Drosophila melanogaster: one gene and its partner. The protein of the gene in region 1 interacts with the protein of each later gene in a pairwise test. Each region holds a gene or a part of one and is shown on either strand. Other genes may lie near its edges.

What was found.
Region 2: the proteins of Trm7-32 (region 1) and CG9014 interact in a two-hybrid assay, tested with the Drosophila melanogaster proteins (one large-scale study listed by BioGRID).

The regions. Positions count from the first base shown.
Region 1 is NT_033777.3:17,037,219-17,048,832, reverse strand, and holds Trm7-32 (tRNA methyltransferase 7-32), read right to left. Parts: upstream 8,152-11,614; 5' UTR 7,987-8,151; coding exon 7,866-7,986; intron 7,811-7,865; coding exon 7,128-7,810; intron 7,071-7,127; coding exon 6,966-7,070; 3' UTR 6,938-6,965; downstream 1-6,937. Other genes in the region: Patr-1 (protein associated with topo II related - 1), read right to left, coding at 1,704-1,982, 2,039-2,284, 2,402-3,930, 4,161-4,974, 5,145-5,183; bdwf (bedwarfed), read left to right, coding at 5,771-6,163, 6,220-6,795; CG18213 (uncharacterized protein), read left to right, coding at 8,733-8,827, 8,960-9,095, 9,149-9,259, 9,327-9,486, 9,547-9,573, 9,639-9,804, 9,863-10,210, 10,278-11,102 and 3 more.
Region 2 is NT_033779.5:13,718,925-13,730,837, reverse strand, and holds CG9014 (uncharacterized protein), read left to right. Parts: upstream 1-7,195; 5' UTR 7,196-7,306; intron 7,307-7,353; exon of another isoform or gene 7,354-7,362; 5' UTR 7,363-7,400; coding exon 7,401-7,769; intron 7,770-7,827; coding exon 7,828-8,445; 3' UTR 8,446-8,677; downstream 8,678-11,913.

The DNA of each region.
Region 1 (11,614 bases):
TCCCGAGCGCGCCGCCGCCACTTGTTACGCACTTTGGCGCCTCCGCACAACAAAATGTCCCTTACGGACAGGCAACTGCCGACACTTCGACGCTTGATTCTGCGCCAAAAACAAAAACAGACAGACACAAAACACGTTCGCCATTAATGATGCACCCCCCCCCCCCCCCGGCACAATTGTTTATAGAAATCAAATGATTAATATATTATTATAGAAGAAAAACCGTTTAATAGCACAAGCGTAAACACCAATTGGAAGCAAATCAATAAATTTGAAGGAAAGCTAAAAAAATCCATAAATAAAATATCATTGAAATGGACAACTAATGTGTTTTTATCAGACTGCTTACTAAACTAAATATCATCTTTTTCAAAACCCCCCCAAAAAAATAAGGTGTTTTAGTTTCGGTGTGTTCTGTGAAATGGTATTTTTTATTTATTATACTCTCGGAAATTATATCAATTTAAAAAAATTTACTTTTGAATCAGCGAACATATTTATAGGAAAAGGTTTGAAGTGTTTGTATGTGATAAATACAAATTAAACTACAATTATTGTATATGTGTTTGCAATCTTAGACAGCTATCGTATTTTGACTCTTGTTTGCTAAAAAAAAGCATAGTTTTAAAGTATTTGCAAGACGTTTGCAGTCGAGTAGAATTTTTTTCAGATACAAAACATGAATTTCAATAAAAAAAATGAATTAAACAACATTGAATGATGGTGTAGATACAATTAAAAACGAAATAAAATTAAAATGCTCCACAACGGATTTTTACAACAAATATCTATCCGTTGCGTTACAGAAGTTTTGTGAAAATTGCTGTTTTCTAATTTCAAATTTGTATTTGTGTGTTAAACTAATTCTTTCCGATCATCGGAACTTCGTTTATGTTTAAAAGTCAAAATGTATCACAATTTTGATCATTTTGTTATAATAAATACGGCTGCACCTGTCACAATGCTAATTATTTAGTACACATTTATGCTGAATGTCTCGACTATATTTAATGGGTCTTGCACAAATTTGATTCAATGAAACCCAAAAGGTAGTATAGTAAAATTTCATTAAACCGATATTTACAAATACCAGAAAATAAGCAGATACTTAAGGATGCACATTTAAATGAGTATGCATGGATCGCGCATTAAATCGGTGCTTTTAAATTTTAAAACGTATTTATGATATTCCTTTTACAATCGTGATTACAAGATATAGGAGAGCCCAGTTGTTAATTCGATGACAAAAAAAAAAAAAGAATAATTTGTGGGGTGAATTATTCTTTATAAATCTCTACAGAAAATGCCGGAAAAGTACTCCTTATCGAATATAAAATGATATAAGTATGTACAATGAGCAAAACCTACCATTCGATATTATATTTATAAAACATGATTTCCTCTCTCTACCTTTCTTGTACAGTGCACACAATTTTGGATAAAAGAACGTTTCTAACAAACTATTATCAAAATTTATTGACAGTCGAGTACTTTCTCAATTTCAGTATGAGATTTTTATACCCTGTATCAATATTTTTGTGTAGTATGCGTAAATGTAAAAACGATCGTACATATGTAAGTTTTGGATACATATTCTATACAAACATATGCGTAATTGAGTAAAGCAAAGTGAACTCGGCTATATAATTTCACAATTATTTGAAACGCTTCAATCAAGTTAAATGAAAATCCGTCAAAGCAACCTAATCAATTTGATGCCTGGCTTCAGTTATTAATGCTAAGAGTGCATCCAGTTTAAGATCTTTAAACCGTTCAAAGTGGTCCATAAGTGGCTGAATTGCATCCGACTCAATGGCTGCCGAGATGGTCTGGTTTTGAATAGTGCGATTGAGGCAGGATGCAACCTGTGCCAGAAATTCTCGCCACTTTTGCCTGTTCTCCTCGCTAAGAGTTGCGTCAGTTCGCGAGACGTAGATTTCCTCGGCGCGAAGTATCAGGGCAACCAGCGAAAGGATTCCAAACTGCCAATTTAATAATTAGTACGCGTATCTATTACTTAATACTGAGGATAACTTACGCGACTGCAAAAAATTCCAGCAAGTTTCTTGTCATTCAGCGTAATAGCAGATGAAATGCTCACTAGGAGTTCGAAAGTAGCTTTGTTAACGTGTTTTTTAAACTCTGGGTAAAGAGCGTACAAGACGCCTTCAACGTCGTCCTTGTCCTTTTTCACCACTGTTTGTAGGGAACAGAAGACGCCGCTCCACACGACCCAGCGAATGCTTTGATCCGCAATAAAGGGCATTATGCGTCTAATAAGTATCTGCAAAGGAAAGATTGATTTAAATAAAATAGTGAGTTTCATGCGTATAGCACTAGAACATAAATCGAATTCTATTTGGTTGCACTTGTTAAAATTAGTATAAGAAAAAGTACACACCTTTCCCTTGCGCACATTCATCATGGCGATAACCTTGTCGAAGGCCAGACCTGCCTTTAATTTATTGACCAACGCAGCTTTCGTCTCTACCTCATAGTTGAACTTGTTCTTTAGTTGCGGATTCATGGTTTGCGGATTGGCGGCTTCAGCAGCACGTTCTTCGGGCGTTTTATTGGCCATTTCCAGCTGCTCAAGGGCTGCGATCCGTTCGGCTTCCTTTTTCTTTTTCAGCTCAATGGTGGCCATCACTTCTGGGCTTTCCAAATCCTCCAACTTCAGCAGATAGCGATACAGTGTTTCAATCAGAAGCAAAATGTGTCGCGACTTCCGCATGCTACTGGGATTTACATCATGGCTCGCGGAGGTGGGCAGCGGAGTCGAGCTTTTTGATGAAGAAGTTGCGTTGGCTTCAGCAGCGGCATTTGATTCACCACTCATAATGTCAGCATCGATAATTTTTCGCGGAGCTGTCACACTTCCGTACTGTAGCTTTCCCAGTGAGTTCTCGAACTTCAGTGGTGAGAATATATAGCCTGTCAGGTTGTTGTTGTTACCACCTGATCCATTGTTCGTGTTGCCTGACGTGCTGTTGGTGTTCTCCGAGTTGCGTCGCTCACGTCCGTGTCCATTGCGAGTACCATTCTTGTTGCCCAACTGTACGAGAATAAGCTGCGCATGGCCGCGTGGCTGAGTAAGCGGATGATTCAACTGGTTGTCCTTGTGCGCCTGACTGTTGCGCATTTGCCCGTTCTGTTGGGCCTTGCGCTCCCTGAACACCGTGTAGTAATAGTCGTCGATATACGGCGTGTCCGTATTCAGCTGCGAAAGCTGGATTCCGATTAGCCAGTGCTTGTCGCGCGTGCTCATTAGGTTGGCATATTCATCGTACTCTTCCAGCGGGTAATTTCCTGTACCATCTGGACGTCGTCCTTGTTGCTGCTGTTGCGCCTGCGATCTCTGACGATCGCTGGCCACGGATCCTGCTCTGCTCTGTTGCATTTGGCGTACAACAGCAGCCTGTTGAAGCAGCGGATGGTTTTGCTGGATCTCTTGCACTAGTCGCATGTTGAACATGTTATACATGGAATTCGGTGGCTGCTGACCTAATAGACTTGTGGCAGCTTGCAGCGGGTGCGGCGGCATTCGCGGTGGCAGCATCTGGTGCGGATGGGGAGGTTGCATAAAAGCCCCTGGATGGATTCCAGCGGCGCGCATCGCATTGAAGCTTGGATGCATCGCGAAATTGTTCAGGGCCGTGGGCAGAGCTTGTGGATTGGGTAGAGGTCGCTGGTTGCCGCCGGGCAGTGGAAAGTTGTGCGGCATGTGCTGCTGCATTAGAGGATGCTGGGGCAATTGCGGAATATTCCCGGGCAGACCTTGCGGGTAAATAAATCCGGGCGGCACTCGGTTGCCACCAATACCGTTTAGTTGTTGCTGCGACGATGGCGTGGGCAGTAGCTCGGGTCCGGGGAAACCCAAATTTGGCCTCGGTGGAGAGGTGTGCGGCGTGCCCAAGAAGCCAGGGGGTACTGCAATGAATTGTTAAATGGTGTTATTTTCATATGTCGCAGAAATCTATCAGGGACTTGAAGTTTGTTCCTTAAATGGTTAAATCTGTCTTAAAAATTGTCCCCAAAAATAGATTCGTAAGAAATAAATATTTTTAGGAATTATACTTTTTGTTGGACATGTTTTCTTTTTAAATACTGAGGCCTGTTTTTGTATGCATCAATACTTTTTAGTTTTAATATATAATTACCCTTGTGCTGCGCTTGTTGTGGCGGCTGCTGCTGCGACTGTTGTTTCTGATGATGCTGCTGCTGCAACATCTGTTGCTGCAACATGGTTGGTGTAGGCACCTGCTGCCTGTTACCCAGACTAAAATCATCAAACATTTTGCGTTCCGCCTGTTGCTGGCTCTGCTGCTGTTGTTTCGGAATGGCCTGCTGAATGATCATATTGCGCTCTATATCCTCGAGAGTTGTAATTTTTGGAAAAGGCTGTGGATTCAGTGCAAAGTTGGCATTCGCTTCCTGCGGTGGCTTCATTTGTTGTGGTTGGTGCTGCTGATGTTGCTGCTGCTGTGGCTTGAAGGCGCTGCGCATAGGCTCGCGGAACAAATGTTGGTTGTTGGGAAACGGCTGTGATCCCCAGACCCCGGAGTCCAGCTTAATGCGGTTGCTCAGCCCACCGGCTTCGCTATCAGTGGTGAAAGAGGACAGGTCCATGTCGTCCAACTTCATGGAGGAAATGTTTAGCTCCAAGTCCGAGTCCCCTATGTGACGAGACTGTCGGAAGGGGGCATTCAAAGGGGCCGGAGTGGAGCCGCTTGAAGAGGGCGCCGATGATAGCGGATTAGCGTGTCGCAGGAAGGCACCATTTCCCTGATCGGCAAAATCCGTATTTCCACTAGATTCCGCGGGTCGCTTCCGCACCCTTTCGCCATTCCCGCCCAGGCGTACCATCGTCTCATGGGCTTCCTCCCAGTCGCCATTTATAGCGGATCCAAAGGTTTCGTCATTGAGGGCATCGTATTCCGCCTCGACGATGCGTCCATCGCCACCATCTTCGTCCTGGAGAAACAATTGAAGCAAGTAAATTAGACATTCCTACTTTTTCTGCCCCCGGTGGCCTTCGATGCCCCCTTATTTGCCGAGTGAAAAGTGTGCGTTGGGCATTTGCCGACCCCTGTGCGGCCCGCTATCCCGGATATTGCAGCCGCAATGTCGGGACCGCTGCTTACCGGTAGATTCGTGTCAAAGCCGAAAAACGAGTCATCCATGGCGATAAATCTATTGCTTTACAAAAAATTATCATGACTTGTCAGTGACAAGTTGTCACCTCAGCAGTATAGCTGTCAAAATATCGATGGTACTATCGATAGTCTGACGTCGATGGTTTTCTGACTATCGCCACAATACATCAATTTCGCTCGCATATAAATATTATCATATTACAAATGTTGGAATTAACATGCAAATTTAAAATATATATTTTTTTCATACGTTTTTTTTCAATAGGTGAACGACTGAAGATTTGTCTAAATTTATAAGTTTGCATTTTGCTACAGTGATGTTAGAAAAAAATGATGATTTAACCACTGCCAAATTTCGTATGTTGCATATTTATTTATTCAGTTTGGGACTTACCACGACTGGTTAATAAGTCAACAACATTAGATTTTACTGATCAATGAAAAATCTGCCCTAATTAAGGTGCATTTGCACTCCTTCAATGTATTCGATATTTTGAACTAGTTCGAAACTTGAAATCAGCGCCCGCAAGCTCATCCCTAAATTACTAGTTCTTGAACTATTGCTTTGGACGGAACTACGAGCCTGTTTCCTTTTCCAAAACAACTTAGTCGAAATGAAGCGGAAAACGAGCGAGATCTGGTGCTTTTTCCGGGCGGTGGACGACACGTTTGCGGTGTGTAATATCTGCAAGGCGAAGCTCTCTTACAAGACGACCACCACGAATCTAAGCAAGCACATGAACAGGATGCACCCCACATCGGGACTCAACCGGAACTCCAAGTACAAATTCCAGCCGCAGACCACCATCGCCATCGACCGGAACAAAGCCAAGCCGCGCAACTCAACGCAAGAGCTGATATTGTTAGAATTCGTGAAGAAACATCCGCGTCTGCTTCAGAATCCGACGTGGGAAACACGGGGCAATCTGGAGTCGCTGTGGGAGGAACTGTCATCCGAACTTAATAGCCACGGTCCGCCGCGAAAAGATATAGCCACCTGGAGAAGGGTATTCTAACTTACTTTTTTTCTAACCGCTTGCATTATAAGTTGATTTGTTTGTAGGCCTTAAAGGACTGGAAGAGGTTTATCCTGAGAAAGGTGGAAAAGAATGAGATGCAGAACATGCCTTTTGGCACCAGTCTTACTTCGTCGGAGGAAACAATAGCCACACTGTGTAGATTAAACGAGGATGTAAGTCAGATTATTATGAAGGTCTCCGACGATGAAATGCATGAGAATTCCACCACGGAATTTGATGTGGACGAAGTAGAGGATGTGGTCCCGGAAGAAGATGGTGGCGCCCTTCAGACTTCCGCCGAGTACGTTTACGAACCGGAGGAGAACAAAACGGACATTGACCCGCTTTACCTGCAATCTAACAAACGGGCCGCATTGGCCAGCAGTCGACTGGCGGAGGAGGAGACCACACTGCTTGACAAGATTAGCAATAACCTAGAAATGGTGCACGATACCGCCAACAGCGTTCAACTTGCACTCAATGAATTTTTTGTCCTGTACAAGCAGAAGCTGTACGAGGACAAGCGACATCACTTGGCAATTGAACAGTTAATGGCTGAGAAAATAGAACTGAAAAAGAAACTATTGGAAATCGAGCAAAAAAAGCTGTCGCTCAAATAACGGGATATGCACAAAATTAAGTAATATCTTGGTAGTCTTAATAACCTAATCTTTAAATAATCTAAGTTATTCAATATTTTGATTAATTTTATCACATTTCTTTTAGCTTGGCCCAAGCCCACTTAATATACAAATTTAATTTAATTTTTTTGGTTTTATTTTATAAATATTTAGATAATATGGCGTTGTTCATCATAGACTTGCTTTAGAATCTCTTTAAATTCCAGGGGATAAGATGCGTCGTCCATAACAGCATCGTAAACATACTCTAAATTCTGTGGGAAAGATGGTTGAATAAAAAAACAAAGCAAAGTATTAGGCACATCACTTACTGATTTGGATTCATCTGAGGAGGAAGTCTTGCCCTCTTCGGGATCACTCAACCCATTTAAGTCTCCACAGGCTATAAAAGGAACTAGACGACGGTTTACTTCCGACCCTGTTTTCTGTGCCAGTAGCCGTATATCATCGCGAGCAGGGTTAATCACTTGAGGAATGTAGCCCTCGGGAAGGCAAAAATCGGAGCAAACCACAAAAGCTTCAATGCTCGAAGGACGCGAACTCGGTGGCTTGTAGATGTCGAATTTTTTGAAAAATATCTGCATCTGGGAGCTCAATAGCGATGTGGCATTTCCCTTAAAAATCTTGGCCACAAAAGTTCCGCCAGTTTCCAGCACACAGGTGGCAATGCTGAGAGCAGCCACAAGTAACTGGTGCTGCATGTACTCGTCCATTTCATGGACCCCGGTGACATCGGGGGCTCCATCGCAGACCACCAGCTGGGCTTTTTCATTTCCACCAAAGTGACCGATGATTGCTTCGGCGGTCGACTGCTTTGTGATATCTCCCTGGAGCTGGAGTATTCCACGGATCGGGGCCATGGCCTGCAGATCAACGGCTATGATCTTAACAGCGGACTTTTCATCGTCCGTTTCGCAGGTATCGTAGAGTTTCCGAGAGAGCACCTGGGACCAGCTGCCAGGAGCAGCACACAGATCGACTGCCCGCTGAACACCTATATATGGAAAAGTGTGTTATATTTTGTTCCTAAGTAGTTTCAATGATCTAACCATTTAGAATTCCGTAGGCTTCGTCCACGTGGAGCAACTTGAAGGCACTCCTGGCCCTCCAGCCTTCGTCTTTGGCTTGTCGGTAATAGATATCTCGTTTGTCCTTTGATGTTTTCCCCATTGTAAATAAATATATGAAATATCAGGGATGCTCTACAATATAACTGTTCTTTTTGAGATACGTGAACAGTAAAAAGAATGGTTAAAATATGGTGTCATGTGCAGAAACTAGCCAAAGAGTAAGAGATTGTAGTTGTTATTTATGTTTTGTAAGTTAGACGATTGGCCAGCCTATCGATATATCGACAAAGAAGGGATGCGAGCGAGTGGTTCGTCAGTTCCAACTGGTTCCTTTTCAGCATAGTGGCTCCGCGGCGAACGGAGGCTTTACGAAGAAAACATAAGCACAAAGCAATAATGCTGGGAGCCCAAGGTTCGGTTGGGCTCTATGTTCAATTGTTTCAAAATAAGAAAATAAAATGGATTCATTATATAAAAATTTATTTAAAAATTTTAATTTGAATTTTTCCATCGATAGGATAAATTGCTGGTAATAAAGGTGTAAAAAATGAGTGCATAATAAAAGTAACATATTTTGGTTATCTCGAAATGTACAGAATAAAGATATTCAGTTGATTTGGACCAAAGACACCGGAATATTCTACTTATTATTTATTATTATTATATTTTATCTATTATATAATATTTTATAAGCCGATAACTAAATTGGATTGCTTACTTCTGGTAACACTAAAATATTATATCAAATAGTTGTCGATTTTTGTGGCGGCGCAATGCGGTCACATTCTTACCGCGAGATCTTCAAAACACGCTTTGATGAGGTTTTTTCAAAATTAAGTGGTAATTATGCACCGAATACCATTGTATATGGGGTCGGAGCCTCGCCCCGAGGCCTCTGAATATATCACGATGTCCGAGGCCATGTGTCCACGTAACCTGATGTGAGTAACAGGCCCACTTGTCCTGAGATCCCGCAGGTTTTGCAATATTGCGAAATCCTAGTTGTCCTGCGATAGGATCCTGCAATGCTCATAGATAGATAATTATAGAATAATAATAATTTACAATTTCAGAGAATGCGAGCTGTTCTTGAAGATTCTGCGCAAAACAACCGACAAAGTTTTTCTCGATTTTTCTGAAGTTGCTGAAGGTTGCCTTAACATTTCCAAGAAGTGTATGAATATGAAAAGTCCTACAGTGTTGAAGATGGTATATCCACATTATTGATATGATATATAACCCTATTGTAATCCAGAACACAGACTTTGCAGAGTCTGGACGAAATTATATGCCGCGCACCCAGCGCCTCCCCTACATGCGTGGATGCGATTATGGCCAGAAGTGTGCTCTACATAAAAAATAACCAGAATACGGTATGTCATCTTCACAGCTGAATACACATCTACATCATATGTTCACAACCCTTTTTTTTTGCTCTAGACCGCATGCAATGATTTACTATATTACGAGTCTTTGGATCCAGCTCTCAAGACAGCGGAGGGAACGATAATCTCGCAGATACTTCACTGTATATGCCTTTTTGTGAATCGGGAGTATGAAGCATCGAAAGATAAACTTTCAGTTGTAAAAGGCCTCATTGGTAATTTGCATAATATGTTGTAATGATCTTCTATAAATCGCTGTTTTTCTTTCATTTTAGAAGATGGGACACTAGCCGATCGAAGTGGTGAGTATTACTAGCGTTGTTTTGAATTTTCTTTTTAATTTTAATTATTTTATTATATTTTCTAGAAGTTAGTCCTTTTCTAGCTCTTATAGAGCAACATGAAGAGAGAATCAACCAAGCTAGAATAAATGTTGAGTTTTGCAAGAAAGTTCAAACCGAGAACTTTGTGCCTTTTAAGGGTTTTAAGCTTACTCGGAAAATTCCGTTTGCCAGCCAAGCTTGTGATTATTCGTACGTAAAGAATGTTTGATGTACAATACATTTAGTAAATTCATATGTTCCCTTATAGCGAAAAATCCATTGAGAAATCTGGCGGAGTTTTCGCTTCATGCGATGTGCCTAAAGGAGAAATTGTTCTTGTGGAGAATCCTGTGTACTTTCAGTTTAGTGCTCCATTTCTGAACTGCGAGTTGTGTGGAGTGCATCAGCAACAGCTATACACCTGTGATAACTGTCGTTATAGATCCTATTGCTCAAAATCGTGTATGAAATCAGATGCAGAAGTCCACCAGTACGAGTGCTATGGATATAAAATTGGACTCATCCCAATGCTTGAGGCTAACATGCTGTTTCGGTTGTTTTGCGAAGCAGGGGAATATATTCTTCCGGCTATAGTAGATTATGCGATGGATGGCGGGTAACTAACGAGTAGATTTTAAACACATGCTTATATATCAAAATTGACTTTCTTTTCCCCATTTCAGAATATTAAGCAATCCCCGAGATGCTTGGACCTTTATACTGGAGCATGCCCAGGAAGAGGAGAAAACTTATAATCTTGTTGGAGAACTCCTTGCTACGGCGCCAGATTATAACCTGCTGACAAGGGAAAAGTATACAGAAATCGTAACCACGGCATTTCGTTTGTCGGTTTTTATTTACAATGACACGCGCCTCGCAGAGAAATATTTTTATTTGCTGGCTCTTGTGAAAACAGACTTAATTACTGTAATGGCAGCTATACTTTTACGTTTGGGTGGCCACGTTCTATTAAATTCCCAGCGAGATAACTTATGCTACAGACAACGTGAAGGTATTGATGCCATGAATGAAAATAATGATGAATTCGAAAATTGTGGTATTCTTCCGATGCCAACTGATCGTATAAGCGCAAATGTATTCAGTTACTATGGAGTTAATGCGATTACAGATTTCGTAGACTGTTATAACAACGTTCACGATAGTCTAGCAGAGATCGAACCTGAGTATCCAGAGAAGTTCTCAAATGATAGTCCGATATTTCGTTTTGCTGATAGGCTACATTCTATTTGCATGCAAAAATATGAAATTGAAGCTGTTGAAGATCTCGTAAGTGCAGATACTTTGCCCGAACAAGAAATAAACGAAATTCTTCAAATTTTTAACACATCACAACGTTGCCAGCTGTTGACGAATATTGCTAAATATTTTCAGCAATTTGTTTATCAATATTTTCACAAAATAGAAAATACCGTCCAACTAAAATCTACGCTTTGTGTTACATTAAAAGCTTTTAAGCAGAATTGTGGGACGAAAAATATTAAAGCCATGTAAGTTTTGATCTTTTAATTTTTTGTTCACACTAAGATGTTTACGAAAATTTCAGATTTTTACCAAATGGAAAAGTCGTTGGTGTGACAGCTAAAAAAGTCCATAAAGGCGAGGAATTAGTGATATGCCCTGATTTTGCTAGGTATCGTGATCAAAGTAGAATATTGGATTTAGCACGACGCGGAGATTTTAATTTTTCGACAAGTATTGAAAACGAATATGAAAATGTTAGTAATTTAAAAACTTCTTAAACCAGATAATTCATTTTTCTTTTAATTATCTCGCATAGCTTGAAAAAATGCCATCACCAGAATTTGTGCGACACAATAAAGCCTTCATCGCCGCTATTAAGAAGAATCTTTCAGCTTGGATAGAGTCTCGACTAGGTTTGAGTTATTTTATACAAATTCTAATGATTGTATTTAATTTATTTTTACTCTCCTAAAATATTATAGATGTAAATCTGCAACTTAATTTGACCATCTTATACGGTACGTACAATAGTTTTCTC
Region 2 (11,913 bases), on another chromosome or scaffold:
AAAATTCCGAATAAAGAAACCTTACCGTTGAGCATACACAAGAACAGCAGCAATGTTAAAAATAATATTGGCACAGTTGCACTAAAATATAAATCTAGTCTTGAGTTTGAGTGGGATAAATAATAAAATGAAAGTAAAGCTTACAAACGTATGCAAATATGCACTATGACCCTAAATTAAAATTTAAGTCTAAAAACATATTGCTTTCCTGTTTCACAGCATTTTCATTAAACTCACTTTCAGAACGCAATGTAATCATCATTTTGTTCAAATGGCAAATTAAAATGGAATGCGCGAGCGAACCAATCTGCCAATTATAAACAAGTGAAATTTATGATCCAAATTTATTTGTTTTCACTTTCACCTTTTTTTGTTTTGTGCGAATTTAAATGAGCAGCAATTTTTCCAGCACGCCTTGTTCCATTCGCTGAGTTTTTCGAGTGGGTTGGCTAAAGCGAAGGGTGAAGCGGAAAAATTGATGCCGTTTTTCTCGGATTGTTGCAGCAGCTGTTGCATTCCGGTTGCTGATTATATAGTTTTTCGCTTCGATCACGGACCGTTGTCATAAAAGTCAATCTCATTCCGACATGTCTTGACCCTTTTTATGCCCCTGATCCTTTAACACATATGTGCCAGTTCACGCATATACAACTTAATCGCAGCATTTTCATAAAATTTTATTGAATTTAAAAACGGAGCCCAGCTACTTGGGCAAATATCATTTATTTTATTGTTCAATTCCGGCGTAACGTATTTCTCTGCAACATGTCCTTCCCTACAGGATGTGCCGCTGCGCATGTGTGTGCGTGTGTGTGTACGAATCCTGCTTTGATTTCCCGGCCGTCTGCTTTCGAATGGCAGCTGGGCCATAATAAGAACTAAGGTCCTTGGAAGCCACCCACACCCACTACTTGTGGACTTGGACTTGGTGTCCGTATCCTTCTCTGTTTGTGGCACTTTGGCCCATTCGTAATGAATGTTTATTGCACCGGACATGTACATGTTTTTGCTCTCTGTGCACCCACATCCAACTCCTCCAACTCCTGCCGTATCCTATCTCGTCCTTGGCTGCTTTTGTGTTTTTCTAGTCAACGTTTCTGGTCAACAAGACTGCGTAATTGCTTTTGGTTTCTGCTCCATGTACTGGCATTGTTGTCTTAACGATTCTCCAATAGGGAGTACGTCGTCGTCTTGAGAAGCCAGCGGATTGCTAACAATTTGTTCGACAAAATCTCGGCAGATCTCCGGACCGATTATGTTTTCCCCATCACAATAAGTGAGCATGTTTGCCATCAGGCAACATATTGCATAAAATTGTCAAATAGTACAAGCTTTATTTATATGGTATTTAATGATTCTATGCTCATATATCAATCTAGTACTTCCTAAATATATTGTTCTCTATTTTATTAGGGCAATTTTTTCATCTGCATATCTGTTGACAGACGTCCAGCAACCATCGAGAATGGCAAACATGTGTAACATTTTAATAATCATAAAAGCAAACACCGAAATCCAAAGTGCCAACAAAGGCGCCCACAACACAATCTAGTTAAATAAGAATAAACGTTGCCACATATTAAAAGCGCCCGGCCAACTTCACGTTTGTCGATAAGGACGACTTTGTCGAGCGGAAGGACTTCGTCGATTCCCTGGCCAGAAGTAAGAAGTAAGTCATTGTTATGCATGGCGCCAACTGCCAACTGCGAAAAAGCCAAAGCTAAAGCCAAGTCGAGGGTTCTGATTTCCATAAACAGCAACAACAAGTGCCGCATGTGTCTGCTACAAGCGGGAGGAAAAATATTAAAGATTCTGGAAACCATAATCTTATTGACGTGATAGGATTACACTTTGCTAAGTGAATTAATAAAGTATCCTGTCAAGGGGGTTGGGGCGGAGGGGGGATGTGGCCAACTACTTAGGGCGACCCACTCAATATGATATGCACACAATATTATGGTCGAAAAACGGTCGAACGGGGCAGCAGCATAATAATATAATAATAAGTGCGGCAGTGGAACGTGGCCTGATTCCTGACGAAGGATGAGCGAGGAAAAACTTTCGCAGCTCTTTCAACTTTCAACCAAGTTGCCTACTCAACGTTATTAACATAATTTATCACGAAGGCGACACCAGCGTCCAATAAGGTAACACTTTTGCTACCCTCCTCCGCCGCAGAGAACTTTTGCAAAAGTTTTCGAGACCAACATATTCATTACATAATCATTATGGCCGCGGGCGAGTTTCTTTTCCGTCAACGATTTTATTAGCAAACTGACGAAATAATTATGTCCTTCGAAGCAATGATTAATCATTGTTCGATTTGCCTGCCGATGCCGAGTCCTTTTTTGCTTGTGTTGTATAAAAAAAGAAACTCAAAAAGAGCGAAAATAAATTGGCATTTATTGTGATGACTTGCTGTGCTTTTGGGCGACAGGCCGCAATTTTGATGACTATACATCAAAATGTCCAACAGTTGGAGAGCTCCAGCTGATTGGACCCCAGGGAGCACTTAATTTGGCCTGATTTCGGTTTTTTTGGGCTTCAATTTTGGCATGGAAAAATCGGGCTTGATTTGGAATGGCTGTGTTTTAATAGAGTGGGCCATTGAGGTTTAGAAGTCCATTAAATGGATTGTGGCACTGGTTTCGAAAATAATAAATACCACTGATTTCATGGACATTTTAAATGTGGTAGTTAAAATATAAATAAAGGCTTAAAACAACATGATTGCACTTAGCTGCATAGAATGTTTTGTTGTATATTTCGTGTTTCATGAAACTTTTAAGACTTTGACCACTTAATATTTATTGGGCTTCAAGTTTTTTGGTTGAGCCGAAAACTTTTCCGATTAATTCGGAAGTCTGATTGCAGTGACCTTGACTGAAAAGGGCTGCGAAATAATGTCGCAGACATTCCAGGACAGTTCACCCACAGAAAGCGCTTAGCCATTCGCCAATAATTCGAAAAGTTTTTTGGCCAGGCCAACTGGAAAGTGTGTTGGCCAAGTTCCTCGAGCCGTTGGCCATTAAAAAGTTGTGTACTCTCATTTCAATTGGCTGAATGCAGCAAAGTTGTTAAGAAAATTATAAACTATGTGCAAATTTGAGCTTCGCAGTGCGGGCAAAAGTGACTCGAATTGTTGCAAGTGTTGCACGCAAAAGTCCGAAGTAGGAATCCGGTCAGAAAGTTGCTCGTTTCAATTGTCATTATTTATTTCTGCACTTGCCAATAAACGCAAATTGCCAGCCAATTATATGGTTAGTTTTCAAGTAGGAATGTTTCCTGGCTAAAACTGGTTTGATTTGTGCCGTAAAAATAACCCCAATAATTTGGTTCGCATTTCTTGCATTTTGTTGTCGCCAGGTCGTAATTAATGCAAATTAGATATGGACCTGCGACGAAATGAGTTTTTCATCAAGTCTAACAACTTAATTAGCTCATAAAAATGACGCCCTCAAGCTGTTAACCCGCCTCCACGCCCCAAAAGCCTCCAAATATTACCGTGTTCCTGCGTGCGGCGGCCACTTAAGCGCGCCACAGATTGCCAATGCCCTCTATCTGCTCCCCAGACTCGTTTCCGTTTCCGGAAATGCCGTTCCAGCGCCCAGGTCGTAGGTCACGGCGTAGGCGCAAAGCTAATTAGTATTAAGTGCTCTTGCGGCACTCGAGGCCTTTACCTCGCCTTCGCCATCGTTTCCTCTCTCCGCCAACGTGCCCCATGTTGTGGTTGGTGCTCCACGGGCTCCATCGTTCCGCATTTTTGTTGTCGCCTCGGGTGTGGCAAAAAAATATTTTTGTGTGTGCGGTCAGTTGTTAAATTCCGGCAAAACGTTCGCAGCCAACATTTTGAAGCATTATGATTGTGGCTTAGATGCTCTTTTGTGTATAAAATCATTGTAAAATTATTTATAAATATTTTCATAGGATATTTTAATGGCCTAATTATTATATTTTTATATTATTAACAGTTCAAAAATTTACATACATTTTTTAAATGATTTAAAAGTATATTTCCAAACGAATATGTGAATAATTATATTAAAAATGTCAAGACCGAGAAGGCATTAATGCTATTAAGGTAGCAAGCAAGCCTTAAAGGACTTCTTTAGTAATAAGCAATGTCCTTTATTCTAGCTCTTTAATTTACATTTAATTGTAAATATAATGTTTATAAGTTGGGCTCTATGAAGTTCTTCACAAGTGAAAAGGCCATTGCCATTGGCAGGCTTGTATAAGCGATTTAGTAACGCTTGAGCGAGCAATGAAGTCAGAGCCAAGTCCACGATGTTTTCGGCTTTTTTGCCTAATTTGTGCCCTAATTCCTTGGGCCTGGAATAATGATGATGGCAATGAGATTTAGGTAAGAGTGCGAAAGAAACGAAAGTCCAGTGGGGGAGATATAGATTATATTTAGATATTTATCTACATTTCTGCATTACTATAACTATTACAATAAATTTCAACACATGCCGTACAAAACTCTGTTTAGTTAAATTAAAAAGAAACTTATTTATTCACTTTTCCCTTTGCTTTCACCCAACCATTTTCAAACTACGTTATTAATTTGCCCAGCCAAGTTTCTACCCCATCTCATCCGGAATTCCGGTGCACGTAGTCGCTTTACTTTAGTTCCACTCATTTCCGCTCCTCACATGACTTTATGCAATAACATCCAAATAAAATTATCTTATCAGCCACTGAAGCATCCTGCGTGTCCTGCGCGTGCTGAGTGTGGGCTAATTTTATTGCATAAAACTTGTGCTTATTGCGCTTCCTCCTCCCCCGGAAAATCCGCCACCTCCTTCGTCCAGCAGGAAAAATTGCACGTTCCGGTCATACGATGCGAACGTGACCGCTTGACCATAGAAGGACCAGGAGATTTGAAGCAACGCACTTGGGTTGTCCTGCCGGCGACGATGTCCTGTGACATGTCCCATTTCCATGTAATGGACATGGCTTTGGGGCACCACGAGCTGAATTACGGTAATTCATGGTAATTTTTTGTATCTTTCGGCGGTCGAAACACGGATGGCAATTTGCTTGTTGCTCCAGAAATGGATCCTAATGTCCAGGGCAAGAAGTCAGGGAGTCAGGGTTAACATGACTGCTAGTGTAGAGGTGAAAATTTATCAAAATTCTTCAGTGGATAACGTATATTTAAGCCGCTTTGCAGCTTCACCTCTTCTCAACGCCCCATCTTTAGTGATTAGTATAATTGATTTACCTACTTACAATTCATATAACCTAACTCATCCAATAAATTATACTTCAAGAATAAGGTAAATATGTTTAGAACATAATTACACTGCCAATCAACAATTTTGGAACTTAAGGCGAAGCGGGAAACATGTGAGCAGAATGCTACTTCGAGTCCGTCATTAATGATTATCTATCTGCAGAGTAGAGGGAATGTGGCATCAGGATGCTAAGGACTTGGGGACAATGAGGCACGTACTGATGTTGCAATGAAATGACAACGGCGCAAGAACAGCAAATATAAATGCAAATAAACATTGTGTGGCAAGCATTTGTGGCTCGTTACATGCTAACACAGAGCCACTCACGTAATGACTGTTTACACGTTGCTAACCTTATTAGTTGGGTTTCGTACATAAATACACTCGGAAAAACCAAACATGATCTTCTTGCACTTAAAAAAAACAGCACTCAAATGTACATATATATTTTATTAACAAAAAAAAAGGCACTTCTATAATATATAAAACATCATAAGCTATTATCCAAATCTTTCATCAGAGTGTGTGCATCCTCTAGGAGCCTTCGAATCATCAATGCTGATTTTCACAAATGCGGTCAGATCAGTTGGAAAAACATTTTTGTGGCGAGCTGTGTATATGCTTACGTACAAACTTATTAAATTTTCCTGCTTGAGTGGTTCGTTTTGTGTTTGCTGGATGATGGGTTTTATCGGAGCCAAGTCAAATGAAAATTGTTGATTATTTTCTAATGCGCTCCATCAGCTCAGAAATGTGAAATATTGCTATTGAACGTCGCAAAGCCAATGGATTGATAAAACGAACACCACACCCCACACGGACTTAATTATTTTGCACAAAATGCGATTTATTAAAGAATATTTCACACCAGCCGGAGTGGGGAATCGCATATCAATTGTGATTTATTCAACTCATCAATTCAAGCATTTCGATTACTGTTTTTCAAGATAAAAACGAAATGAAAGAATGAGTCTTGAATATTATGGCAAACTGAAAAGGCTTGAGCAGGAATTTAAAGTAAACTAAAATGTCAGACTGACAGTTGCATTCGGAGATAAGCATTTGGTAGCACTAGACTGAAATTGCAATCCAACGAAAAGGATTCGATGCAGTAAAGTTGTCACAAACAAAATGCACAAAAAGGCACACAAAAGCAAATGTCATTCTTAGGCAAAACATGAAATTTAATATCCAAGCGAATGACGCTTCCAAGTGAAATTAAAAACCGAATTTCCAGTCACACAATGCCCATTCTATTATACACACGTATGTATATACATTCGAGTTTGCATAGAGCAGTTGATATAGTGTAAATATTTTGACATGGCAATATGTTGTCACAATCATGCCTGTGTGTCGTCTGATGAGTGTTTGTTCGAAATTCGGCCATTGTGGAGCTGAAGATGGAAAGTTTATTTGTTTGCCCATGTCCCAGCATTTGCTGTTAATTTGTTAAAATTTCACTTTATAAATAAAATTCAACTCCTCGCTTCGCTTCGCATCGCTTCTCTGTGCAGGCTAAGTTAAAACGTGGTCGCCGAAGGTTGGCTGGACGTTTGGCATTATTCCGGGTTGTCGTACCATAAGTTTTCCAATTTGCATAACTTCCGCAGCAGTTGGGACTATAAATATGCAAAGGGTTTTACGACCGCACTATATGCAAGTGCCTCAAGAAAACGTTTTCTCAGACCCATTCGCCCCCACCCCACTTGCTCTTGGCCCACTTGGATGGATGACTCCCAGTGTTCTGTTGGTTGTTTGGCTGGTTTCAGTTGCGCTTGAATTGAAATTGAAGTGTCCTAAATGGTAGAAGGCTCAATGAGAGCTGTTTGCATAACAGATGATCGAAAGGCCTAGTATTTCTTAGCTTAAGAAAAGGATTTTTATTTACAAAAATAAACTATATATACTATTTATATAACTATGCATAACTATACACATAGTTGGCTTTTAATCAGATGCCAGCTCGGACACAACTCAGCGCCGACGTAAAAACTAACTTTTTGATCGAAATATTGTAAAAATCGAGTTTCGGATATAGGTATAAGTACATATCGAACTCAGTGGTAAGTGGATGAGAGTGGCTCCATGCCAAAAAAAAATAACATCTCAGATTCTCCAGCGACATAAACTTCGGTATAGAAATCAAACCATTTCGTCATGGGCTTTGATCTAAACTGCATTGTGGGCCACGTTGACGAGGAGCTCATCTGTCCAATTTGCACAGATGTCCTGGAGGAGCCGGTCCAGTCATCGGAATGCGAGCACGCCTTCTGTCGCGCCTGCATCGACAAGTGGATGATCCAGAAACAGATTTGCCCGGTGGACCGCTCCGGGCTACTGACCTCACATCTGGTGCCCGTTTCGCGCCTAATGCGCAACATGCTATCCCGCCTAAAGATCAAGTGCACCTTCTCGCAAAGCGGTTGTGCCCAAATGCTGGCCCTCGAGGAGTTCCGGACCCATGTCGCCGCCTGCGAGCATAATCCCAAGGTGGTTGTCGAGTGCAGCAAGGGGTGCGGAATGAAGGTGAACATTCTGGGAATAACTTGAACTGCTTAAGATAGCTATAATATTCCCGCTAAAGGTACCCAAGGACGAGATGTCGCGCCACAACTGTGTGTTCGAACTGCGCGAGCTGGTGGAGAAACTGGCGAAGGAGGTTTCCGATCTGAAGCAGAAGCAATCCGATATGGAGGAGCAGAGCTCCAGCCAGCGCCGAGAGATGGAGCTGTTCCAGTACTATATCGCAGCACTGCGATCGACCAATCCCATGCTGCGCAACATTGGCGAACAACTGGACCGCTTCTCACTGATGCAGTGGGGCCATGGACTCCCTCTGGCCAACATCCATACGTGGGGCAGTCTGATCTCCACGCCGGACAATCCCATGCACCTGATGGTGCGCGACGTTTTGCGTGAAAGCGGCTGTCCGATGCATATGCTCAATATGCTGGTTGAACGTTGCCACGAGGATCGCTGGCCCGAAGGTCTGATGACGTTGGACGATCGCCGCGAGAACCAACATCTCATGAGTCGGTATGTCACCCGATTGGTGCCCGGTCTGGTCATTGGCAAACCGTGCGTGGTTGTTCTGGGCGGCGAAAACACCCACATGCCGGAGAATCTGCGCCCCATCCTCGGACTGGTCATGATCTTCGTCGACGGTGTGAATGAGGTAATATTTGGCGAAGAGATTATTTAAGCCAATGATGGGTCACCACATCCTGCTTGTATCCTCCACATCTAAATTCATTTTGGTAACACAACACAAAAGCGCAACTGGCTGCCCGTTTTCCACGTCCTTTGTTTTGGAATGATGGTCATGTTGCTTCACTGTCTTAAATTACACGATCGTACTTCAAAAGTCGTCAAAATGAAAAATATAAATATGTTTTATCAATTCGAGTTACGTAAATAGAAAACAAACAAATGGTCGTGTTATTTTTTAATGTCGGACCTTATGAATAATCTGAGGGCTCCCAATACTATCGAAGAGTTTTTATGAAACGTATGTAATTTTGAAATTTTTAAGGTTTTGTTAAACTTCCCTCATCGATTGGTTCAGTGCAGCAACACTCACAGTTTAAAGTTGTCGTTGTAGCTGACAGATATTCTTCTCGGCAATTACGCGGCAATTATAGAAGCTCAGTGAACACTCGGGCGTATGCGTAATGTTGGAGCGAAATTAAATAAACGCATAAGCTGGGATTGAGGTTGCTCCTTCTGTGGGTGGGCGGTTGGTTGGGCTTGCGGTGGGTGCATCAAGTAAAACTTATAATGGAAATGGTAAAAGTTTGGCTGTGCTCGGTTCGCGGCAGTTGGCGACACCATTTGGAAAAGTTTTACAAATTGTACAAAATTTAATTTCCCAGCTGAGATAAATTTTCGGGACCATTACGATTTTAGCCTGCAATTGAAAACGAGATCTCTGATCAAATGAAAATTAATGGACTGCAAGCAGCTTACTTCGATGCGATGAGCTCACATTTGGGCAAATATTGTCCATTGAATGAAGTATACACCGAATTAGTGTCAAATCAAACACGACTCTTTGAACTAATTAAATGGTCCGGTACACACAAAGGCCATGTACGGCTAACTTGATTAAGCCAAGACGACGACGCAGTACAAAGGACAACTAACGAACTAACCACCGAATGCTGCAGCTAATACAATGATAGATGCCGGCACCTGGGAGCCCTTTAACTGGCTGCCTCAGGGCTTGCTGCAAAAACCGAAGCCTAATGCAACAAAAGCCAAAACTTAATTAATATTTACATGGGTCCTCCTTCGCCAGAGGAAGTAAGCTAAAGGCTCAGTGAAAGCTGATGTTGTGGCCTTATCTTGTCATGTTTGCATATGTGCAGTCGTCGCTCTTCCTGGTTCCTCCCCGCTCCTGAAATCCAGTGGCGATGGTGATGGTGCTCCGAGTCTGAAATGGAAGGTGGTTCTCCTGCATGGCTGCTAGAAATCAATTCGCATTGTTAACCCATGATTGGATATTATTGATTCAATTTGCAGCCAACCGACCAAAACATGTTTTATGCATGCCCATGCCCATGCCCTCGTCCCCCGCCAAACTTGCCCCTTTTTGTCTGCTGGTGCATGTATGGCGATAATGTCCTTCGGTATCGATAATGGTCCACATGCACGCTCGCACACTAACACCAACACCCGCGCCGACACACACACACACTCGCATACGCATACGCACTTGTAGTTGGCCAAACTTCAAGCTCAACTCAGTTTAATTTATGCATTTGCTGCACTCGGCTGGTAGCTACAGTGGGCCCAAATTGTTCATTATCAAATTTGGGCATCCCAAGCTAGTAAATAAAATAAATATTTTTAAAAAGCGGTTTTTTATTCATTTCTATGATACTAAAATGTTGTAAATATTTTGTAAAGATTTTGGGTCAATCATCCACAGGTAAAAATACGTTCAGCAATTAGGCATGTTAATTTATTTGTAAAGCATAGCTCGCTTTTCGAATTATATATACATATCTTTTGCTTTGTTTATTTAATTACCATAAATATTTCGACATATTTTGTACGAATCAATACTTTTTAAAGCGAATCTGCTCCTTTAGCTTTGATTCCACTGTAAACGCTTATCAGAAGCATGGAGAGCAATAGATGTCACCATTTCTACACATCTTCAGCACTAACTTTTCCTTTATATAAGAGCTTTTGTAGTTGCAACGTATTATTTTTAGCATATGCTTGAGACCTCATTATCGAAGTAAATATATGGGAAGAACTCTTAAATCTTGAAAAGTCCCTTAATTTGTAGTATGATTACTATTTACGGCATCAGCATTACTTAAGATAAATATTACTATTAACTCTATTGCAAATGTATATGTTTATAACATGTTTCGTTAGAGGACTCTCAATATTTTATATCTGTATTTCAGACCCCTCGAAGAACTGAAATTTGTATAGGCCGAATGTTGTAAATCGCTGCCATATCAGTGGTAGTAAAGCTCGATAGCACAGTACTAATCATCCAAAGGTAAATCACCGAGGGCAGCACAAAGGAAAATGTGGCGAGAAAAATGTGCAACAGCGACGGCCTTCTTTGCCAAGGCTAAAAATGTGAATGGGCCAGCCCAACACAAAAACAGCGGCAAAACGCAAAACACAGTACGGCGGCAGTAAATTGGCGGCGATAAAATTGAAATCCGCTGGAAGCTGTGCTAACCGATTTGGCCCAGTCCTTGGACTTTGGACCACCTAGAGGTGCAAAAGGAAAAGCGAACAAGTCGGCGCGTTGAGTTGTGAAAACCGAACGGAAATAGCGGCCATAACTCGCCAGTTGGAGCCCAGAAAATAGCAATGGAAACGCCATTTGGTGGGATTTTTCTTTCCCAGGACGCTGTTGCCTGCACGAATTGATTTGTCCTTGTGGGAGGCAATATAGGGTAGCTTTGATTAGCGGAGATTGGCAAAGGTTTCAATAGCGCCGCATGATCGATTCACAGGGAGTTGGTCGGGATTAGCAACCATTGTGTGTACGAAAAACTAGTGTAAATGACTTTTCTGAACTTTTCTTAAGTATATGTTTTTATTAAGAACAGCTTTAAATGTTTTTAAATGTCAAGAATATAAATAGAAATATATAACGAGGTTTATTCCTTCTAAAGAAACGGAATACCCAACCAGTCTAGATCCACTTGTATATATCACCTGAACTGTCCAAAAACTGCTAAACGATTTATTAAATTTATGTATCTTTCCATGGACCAACATCAATTTTATTTTCTTTGCGGCGAGAATGTAATAAAAATGTAATGATATTTATTAAGTACTCATTTATTTGATTAACGGCGAAAAAGAATATTTTTATTCGAGTTGAAGAGTTTCTTGGGTGGAAAGGTGTAAGATTTGTTAGTTACATATACAATTGAACATGGGCTTTTTTTTTTCGTACCTGAATATCTTATTTTAATCATTTAGGTACGTCTTTTCATTCCCCATGCCAGTAATAATAATAATAAGTCTAAGAACTTGGCTGTGGATATCGCTTTTAACATGATTTTGTCATTTGGGTATATTTGCCGTTAACTTCAGTTCAGCAGCAATTTTCGCACTCAATGCAATCAGCTTGTTTTTCCTTCGGCTGATTGTTGCTAATGCGCTCTAAGTAGCAGTATGCCACATGCCA